Oryctolagus cuniculus: one gene and its partner. The protein of the gene in region 1 binds, or shares a complex with, the protein of each later gene. Links are inferred from orthologs where the notes say so. Each region holds a gene or a part of one and is shown in the gene's direction. Other genes may lie near its edges.

What was found. Proteins that work in one complex are often made in the same cells at the same time.
Region 2: CACNG1 (region 1) and CACNB3 share a complex: the UniProt entries of both Homo sapiens proteins name them as parts of the calcium channel complex. The link is inferred for Oryctolagus cuniculus from reciprocal best matches to the Homo sapiens genes CACNG1 and CACNB3.

What each region holds. Positions count from the first base shown.
Region 1 is NC_091448.1:13,144,005-13,148,240, forward strand, and holds the start of CACNG1 (voltage-dependent calcium channel gamma-1 subunit), read left to right. Parts: upstream 1-1,423; 5' UTR 1,424-1,564; coding exon 1,565-1,793; intron 1,794-4,236. UniProt on the Homo sapiens protein: Regulatory subunit of the voltage-gated calcium channel that gives rise to L-type calcium currents in skeletal muscle. Regulates channel inactivation kinetics.
Region 2 is NC_091442.1:52,305,248-52,309,359, forward strand, and holds the start of CACNB3 (voltage-dependent L-type calcium channel subunit beta-3), read left to right. Parts: upstream 1-1,301; 5' UTR 1,302-1,462; coding exon 1,463-1,507; intron 1,508-4,112. UniProt on the Homo sapiens protein: Regulatory subunit of the voltage-gated calcium channel that gives rise to L-type calcium currents. Increases CACNA1B peak calcium current and shifts the voltage dependencies of channel activation and inactivation.

The sequences.
Region 1 (4,236 bases):
CCTCCCAGGGTGCACTTCACCAGGAATCTGGAGCCAGGAGTGGGGCTGACACTCCAAACCACACGCTCCAGTGTGTCCTAACCACGAGGCCAAACACCTGCCGTTTCGCAGGTCCCTGGGAAAGTAAAGTATTCAAGCCCCAGCTGCCCTCCGCCTTCAGTCCGTCTGTCCATCCATCAAACCTCTCAATAAGCATCTGTGAAGGTTCTGGGAGGACCTAGAGTGAGTGCCTCACAGCCTCAGTGACCTCAGCCTCCGAAGCTCAGAGCAAACCCATCCACCAGTGGTCTGTGAAGAACATGCTGACGCAGCCATCCTGGATCCACCGCCCGCCATGCCGCCAGCCCAGGGCACCACAGCCAAGTGCTGTTCTGGAAGCCGGGAGCCAGCACAGTCAGGTTCTGGTGAGGGCTCTCTTCCTGGCTTGCAGATGGCAGAGAGGAAGCAAGTGAGCTCTCTGGGCTCTCATCAGGGCCCCAAGCCACCACTCTTACCAGACCACCCCCCAAAGGCCCGCCTCCAAACGCCATCCCACTGGGAGCTGGCACATCACACCACCCCACTGTCTGGGCCGCACTGTCTGCTGGAAGAGCTGAAACCAGGACAGAATCCGGTGCCCCAACCGGGACTAGAACCGGGGGTGCCGGCGCCGCAGGCGGAAGATTAGCCTAGTGAGCCGTGGCGCCGGCCTGCATTTAACTTTGTAAGTGAAAATACAGCCAGGAATCTTTATGACCTGCCTGGAAGAGGAGGCGGCGCTCAGAGCAGTTCCATAGAAACAGTGGTGCCGCTGAGTCCAGCTGTATTCTCCGGGCCTCTCTCTGTCTCTAAGGGCGGTTGTTCCAGCACACGTTCCCTAGCCCTGAACAGGGACAGGAACAGGAAGAGAAGTGAGGAGGTAGAGGTGTTCTCATAGTGAGGTCACAGTTGGCTGAGGAACATGCATGCAGATTCCCAGGCCTGGGCGGTGGGGCTGGGCTCCTGTGCGGGCTCAGGCACTGCGTGGGAGGGGGCTCCAGAGGCCCTGGGCAGAGGGCCCTGGGCTGTCCCTAGGCAAGACCCTGGGTCCCCTGACTCCCCGGGATGAGGACCCCATCTTGGCAGCTGGCTTGCCCAGTGTGAGACCAGGAAGCAGCAGGGCCTCCCCGGGGGCCCTGTGCTGGCTTAGCAGGACCTCTGCAGCCAGAGCAGGTGCATCACCCGACACGAGGTGGCCCATCCCTCGCCCCCGTCCACTCCAAGTCACTCTGTAAAGCCTCCTCCTGCCCCACCCTGGCTCCAAGAGGGGAAGAAAGCGCTGAAACCCGAGCAGACGCCGTCCTGGGCCCTGCTGGAGGCATTAATAGAAGCCTCGCTCAGGCCCCTGACGTGTCTGGCAGCTGCTCAGCCCCAGCCCGCGTCTCCCAGCCCCAAGGCCGGCCCACTCTGGCTCAGCCGGGCACACTAAACTTAGCTTCCACCCCCAGCTCCGGAGCCACGGCCACCACCCTAGCCGGGCCGCCACCTGCACGGGCAGGCGCCGCCGCCAGACCCTACCTGCAGCACCCACCCCTCTGCAGCCGCCATGTCCCCGACGGAAGCCCCAAAGGTCCGCGTGACCCTCTTCTGCATCCTGGTGGGCATCGTGCTGGCCATGACGGCCGTGGTGAGCGACCACTGGGCCGTGCTGAGCCCCCACATGGAGAACCACAACACCACCTGCGAGGCCGCCCACTTCGGCCTGTGGCGGATTTGCACCAAGCGCATCGCCCTGGGCGAGGACAGGAGCTGCGGACCCATCACCCTGCCTGGGGGTAACGTATCCATGCCCTGTCCCCTCTCTGCCTCCTGCCTGTCGCAGGTGCCCCGGAAGAGGTGCCCGTGGGAAAAAAGGCAGGTTTCTCTGCCTCGGGTCCAAGCAGCACCCCAGCCCTCCCTGCCCAGGGCAGACAGAGCTGCGCATGGCACGGCCATGTACGGAGGGCTTACGTTTCCAGCTATTAGAACATGGGGCCATGCGCCCAGAGCAGACAGCTGCACAGATGGGACAAGAGGCCCAGGACGAAGACGCAGGTCCACCAGACCAGGGCCTCTGGCTCAGCAGGGGTCACAGCCCATGTCCCCAGGCTGGGTGGCCGTGTGCCCCCAGCCCGGCAGGTTCATTGCTCAGTGCCCAGGCAAGGGTGCAAACAGGGCCAGCTCCAGGGTCTGCAGTGCCTCCTGCAGAATGAAAAGGCAGGGCTCCTAGTTTCCGGCGACAAAGCGTTTCAGGTAGGCGGCCGCAGGGTGTGGGGCGCTTCTGGGGTGGGTGTGACTGTGCAGGCTGCACCCCTGGAAAGTGGGATGTGGCAGCATGCAAGCCGGCTGCCTGCTCGTGGGAGCCCACAGACCTCCCGGAGGGGCCCCCTGAACTCAGCTCTCTCAGATTCCAAAGTGTCCCCTGTCCCACAGTGTCACCCAGCCACACGCTGCAGGTGAGCCCTCGGTCCAGGACGTGGGGCGTGAGCAAGACAGATCCCTGGGAAGAGTGTCGGTTCTGCACGTGTGGGGCCCACGGAGTTCCAGTGAGCAGAGCGTGTGCCAGGGCAGCGGGTGCTGTGCGGGGAGCGGAGGCCTGGGCCCCAGTCACGCGCTAGCCGCCTGCTCCCTAGAGGAGGCTTCTGGGCAGACAAAGCCCAGCTCAGCTCCTCCTGCTGCCTCTTCTATAAAACAGGAGACTTGGTCTCAGCCACACACGATCCCTCCCAGAGCTCACCAAGGTCCCTCCAAGGCGGCAGCCGGCCAGGCTGTGAGTGACACCGTCCCACCTGACATGCGTGTTCAGAAAGGGCGTCCTTTAAGGCGGGTGGCGCTGAGCCCCCAGAGGTCTTGCAGTCTGCCCAGCCCCTAGCCCCATGCCGCCCTTTCCTCCCCCTGCCACTTGCTCCAGGGATCCCCTGCCCCGCGTGCCCCCGGGGGGCGTGCAGAGGACTCGTAAATCCTCAGCTGTCTTGGAAACGCTGAGTCCAGGGCTGGGAGCTTTGACAGGCGTGGGCATGTGCTCATGGGCTATCGCATAGCGCAGATGCTCATGCCCTCGGCCACCGCTGAGCACGCCCGTAAACACACGCCTCCTCCAGCCAACTCCCTTGGGCAGGGCAGGGCGGGGCAGGGCGAGGCGGCTCCTCCAGGGACACTGTCATGGTCCTAGCTGCTGTCCTTGGAGCCATCTGCCTTTTAAAGTCAGAGCCGATGAGCAGGGCAGCGGGCAGAGTCCACACAAGGAAGAGACAGACTGGCCAGAGGTGACCAGGCCAGCCCCAGGGGACCGACACTTGGCCTTGAGCCTGAGCAGCGTCCATCTCTTTGGCCTCTCCACGCCGCCCCCGCCCCAGGCGTGAATCATGCACTTGCGGCACTCAGCACTGCCTTCCCTCCAATAATCCTCCCAAGCATGTCCCCCCGGCCTTTTTCCTCTTTTGCAAACAGATGTCTGCTTCCTTCCCAATGTACCTTTACCTTCCTTAATCTCCTCGGGACCACCGTTTTCTGGAGCGAGTTCATACATCTCTCATTTATTTGTTATTAACCAAAGCAACAACAAAGGCACGCAAACGTAGCACTGTGTGCATGTATTGTTGTGAATGCTTTTCCTAAATTCACTTGAAATGACGTCAGAAAAATAGGACAGAGTAAGGCATGCCTGCCCCCAAATCTTCCCCATAAAAGCCATGAGGATTCTGGCAAAAATTGACAGGACACTGGACATTAACCAAATCTCACAGAATTCCAGAAAAACAAGGGAAGCTCAGGAGGAACAGAGACTTGCCCATTCCCACGCACCCTCCCCAGGTCTGCCGTGGCTTCAACATCTCACAGTCATCACCAACATAGCAGCCCAACAGCCACTGAGGGGGACAAATGGCCAGCTTTCTTTTACGGCTCTGTTTTCAGAGCGGTCATTGTGCGACCTGTCCTGTGGCTCCCTGCAAGTCCCCACTTACAAATCGCCTCTATCTGACCTGGCTCTGAGCTCTCCAGTGCCACCAATCTTTCTCCCAGGGAGCATTTGTTGAAAACAACTGGAGCCAACTGTGTAACATCATGGCTTCTTGAGACAGCACAAAACAGTTGGTGCTAATAATGGGATAGCCCAAACGCTGGAGGATATGATGTCCGTTGGCAGCTTTGGAAAGTTCCAACATATTCCTGGGCACCTCGAAGGCCTTGTGCATGCACGGTGCTGCCAACAGGCTCAGGAGAGACCTGAGGTCCTAA
Region 2 (4,112 bases), on another chromosome or scaffold:
CAGCAGACTCCTCCAGCCCTGTAGGATGGAAGGAACTGACGCGAGAGAGAATGGAAAAGATACAAGGAATCCTAAAGGAATCGAGAGAGAGGGCACAGTCATGTCCATATACGATCAGCCCCTCCCCTGCCCCCCGCAGGAGCGAGCGGGAACTGTGAAAGCCGAGCCACCGCCTCCCCGAGTAGCCACCGCCCCCCTTGGCCGTCAAGGCGTCCAGGTTGTTCCCCCAAATCTAGCAAGAGGAGAAGGCCGGAACTGCCACAGGCACAGATAAACTGAAGCAGGCCCGAGAGAGTCTCAGGACGAGGCAAGCAGGACACCTGTCCCCCCCCAGCTGGGGCTTGCTGCCAAGGCGGGGTGTGGCCCTGGTCCCCCACCAGGGACTGGGGACGCTCGCCCCTTTCTCCCCTTCCCAAGCCTGTGTGGCAGGCAGGATCGCACCTTCGCCCCCACCCCTCCTCGTGGGTTCTCCTAAAACAGCCCCTTCTGCCCCAGTTCCCACGAATGCCTTTGGCCATGTCTGGCACCACCCTTGGCAGGGAGATGAGGAAGGGAACCTGCATCGTGGCTGCAAAGGGGTGAAATCCGCCGTGCAACAGGTGCGCGGAGGCCTATCCAGCTGCCAGAACCTCGGCCCTTCTCCAGGGTCGGGCGACCCCGCCCCCCAGCTGCGCGGCCCCGCACTGCGGGGCCCGCGCGTACGGGCTGGGGACTGGGGTGGTTGCTTCCACAGCACTGGCCTGGGGTCGCCAAATCCCTTCCTCCGCGGTTGCAATGCAAGGTTTGGCTTTCGGAGTCTCCTGGGACGCGCCGCCATCTCACCTGGGCCCCCTCCCCCGCCTGCCGCTGCCCGGTCTCTCCGTTTTCTGGTCCCCGGTTCCGCTCTCCAGCCTGCGGCCGCCCCAGCGCCCGAACCCCGGCCCGCGCGGGTCGCTGCCCGGCTCCGCTCGGCCCCTTCCCCGCCCCCGCCCAGCCCTTTGTTTCCCGGCGGAGCAGTTTCCTGGGTTGCGGAGCGTCTGGGAGCCCGCAGCGCCCCTCGCCCCGCCTCCAGCCCGCTCGGATCCGCCCGCCGCCTCTCCGCCCCTCCCGCCCGCCGCCCCGGGCCCGTGGGTGCTCGGGGACCCAGCTCCCGTCCGCGCCCTCCCGCGGCCCAGGCCCGGCTGCCCCCCGCGGCCACGCCGCGCCGCCTTCCCGTGAGGGCCGGGTGGGCGGGCGCTATTGTTGCGGAGCCGGCGCCGACTCCTTGGCGGCGCTCGGGGTGGGCCCGCGGGTGGGGGGTGGGCAGCTGCGGTGCGAGCCCGAGCAGGCGTCTCGGTGGCAGCTCCGTCCCCGGCGCGCCCGCCGCCGCCGCCCGCAAGGCTGCGGGGCTCGCTGGCGTCCCTCGGGCGCGGCCCTCCGTCCTCGCCCCTGCCTCGGGGCCGCCCCCGCCCCGGCGCCGCTCGCGTTCCCGCCCGGACTCCCCATGTATGAGGACTCCTACGTGCCCGGGTTTGAGGACTCGGAGGCGGTGAGTGCCCACGCCGGAGCGGGGGTGGGGGTGGGGGGTTGGGGCGACACCTGGGGCTCCCTGGGCCCTTCCCCCAGTTCGGGACTTTGACAAACGCCTCAGTGGCGGGGCAGGGCGTGCAGGGGGCGCTCTGGGAAAGCGGGAAGACAGATTCCACGCCGAGGGCGCCCGCCCGCCCAGACCCGGGGGGCCGGGGGCCCTTGTGGCGCAAGGCTGGAGCAGGTGGCTCCGCAGCCCAGCACGGACGGGGTCGAGGGAGGGAGAGAGGCCGGAGGCTGAGGGCGCAAGGGTTTCCCGCGACGTCTGGAGTTTCAGATTCTGGATTGATGGGGGCTCTTGGGCAGGGGGCCGTGCCACACTTTATGTGCTGTAAATGAACGGCACACCAGGGACCTGAGGGTGTCGGGTACCAAGCCGTCTCCTCAGAGGATTGTAAAACTTGAGGCGGCCCAGTGTCTCCTGCCCGCCCCCGCTGGCGCATCACCATAGCTCACCCCTTCCTCTAGCCCGTTTTCTCTCCTGGGCATCCAGCACCCTGGGGGGTGGGGGGGGGACACCTGATTGCACCCCCACCCCATGCCCAGTGCCCAGCTGCGGCTTGCCTGCCACCCAGCACCTATGGAGGGCCAGGCGGTGAGGCCAGAGGGGCTGGAGGGGGCCCGGGGCTTGGATAGGAAGCTCTCTTGGCTCAGAGAAATCAGGCAGCCGATAAATATTTAATTCTCTTCTTTGCTTTTATCTCCTGACCCACTGAGACAAATCAGCTCATTAGGCAGTGATTCCCGGAGCTCAGGGAGAGTGCCTGGAAAGATAGGGCCCAGAGTGGGGCAGCTTCTAAGCCCCCCTTGGAGCTGCCAACCCTGCCACAGCACCTCCTGGGAGAGGTGCTGGTGGTCGTGGGCCGCAGCCTGCCTCTTCAAGCCTCCAGCCTTCTCTTGCCTCCAAGCCCAGGATGGATGAGTTGCTAAGGGGCAGAGCTGGCAGAGCTGGCAGTCCTTGCCTGGGACCTGACTGCTCCTGGGGCCGGTTCTCCCAGGGGGACCTCTGGGGCTGATTGCACAGCAGCTGCAGTGCAAGGCTCTGGTGGACACTTCTCTCTGACACTTGAAGGGGACAGCTGGCACAGCCCAGGGTGCCAAAGTGAGCTCTCTGTAGGGCTCGAGGGCCTTCACGGGACAAGATAGACACGTGGACGGCTGTCTGAGGGTGAGCCTGCTGCCTTCCCAGCTGTCTCAGCGTCCTGGATCACCCTCTTCCCCCCTCCCCGCCACTTCGCCTCCTCTCTCCTGGCTCCTTGCTCTCTCCCTGAGGCCCCCTCTGAAGCAGTAGGAGGGAGATCAGTCTCTAAATAAATCCACCGGCTCATCTCCCTCCTCTTCTTCCCCCGTGCCAGGCGAGAGGAGCTGCAGCCTGCCCACACACTCACCAGGCAAGGGGGGCACCACCCGTGCCAACTTCTGACAGCTCCAAAGTGCTGAGCCTTTGGCTGTTTTGCCGTAGTGGGGTAGAGCAGAGGTAAAAGATGCAAGAATGGGTTTGCTACGCAGCCCTGGCCATAGCATAGCGTGAGAGGTGGGTGAGCCTTGAGGATTTGGGAGTGGAATCATGGATGGAGGAGTCCCTTCTGAGTATAACTCCGAAACTTGTCGGGAGAGCTCCTGTGATTGCCACTGGAAGGTGAGAGGTCAGGTAAGCCAGACGCACCCTGCACTAAAGTTACCCAGTTAGGCTGAGAGCCCTACAGCAGAAGGAAAGCCGAGGCTCCTCGCCCAGCACCTGCTGGGCGTCTGCAGTCTCCGATGTTTAGGCGCCAAAGTGAGTGGCCGTCCTGCCTCTGCCTCCCAGCCTGCTGGCCACTGTCCAATTCAGCGTGGCCCACAGAGCTGTTTCGCGTGTCCTGAGAGCCCTGGAAGGGGGTCTTCCACCACATCCAGCGGTTTCAGCACAGCGTCTTTCTGTCCCGCTGCCAGACCAGTCTTATTTTGTTCTCAGGAAAGATGGACAGCCGCAAGCACGCTCTACTCATCTATAAAATTAAAGACCGCCCCTCCCTGCCCCTCTATGCAATCTTCACATCTTTGGTCTGCTCCACACCATCATTTAGGCTCGAGGGCCTGCCGTGCCTCCAGCTCTCTCACCTAGGGTTGGGCTGGGGCAGAGAACGTTATGGGCAGCAGATGTGCAGTTTTGCCTTCTCCCCTGAGAGTCTGGCCTCTGCCCCCCCCTCCCAGAAAATCATCATGCACAGTAGCCTTGTGGGAGTGGTGCTCACCCTGAGAATATGCCAGAACCCCTTCCCCTACACACACACCAATACACACACACACACGTGCACACACATGCACGGACGCAGGAACCCTTTATCTAGTTTCCTGCTTTCTCTGCTACCAGCATCCTAGAATTAAGGGAAGAATCACTTTAGGCTTCTGCTCATAGCTGAGGGGTGGGGGTGTGTGTGTGCAGCACTGAAGCAGAAAACACAAAATTCCCTTTTCTCTGGGCAGAGGGAAAAACCCAGACGATGTAAATTCCAGCCTCTTGCCTCCAAGCCCGGCTTCTCTTGCTCTTTAGTGTCTCTCCCTCATGGCCTCAGACATGGCACACA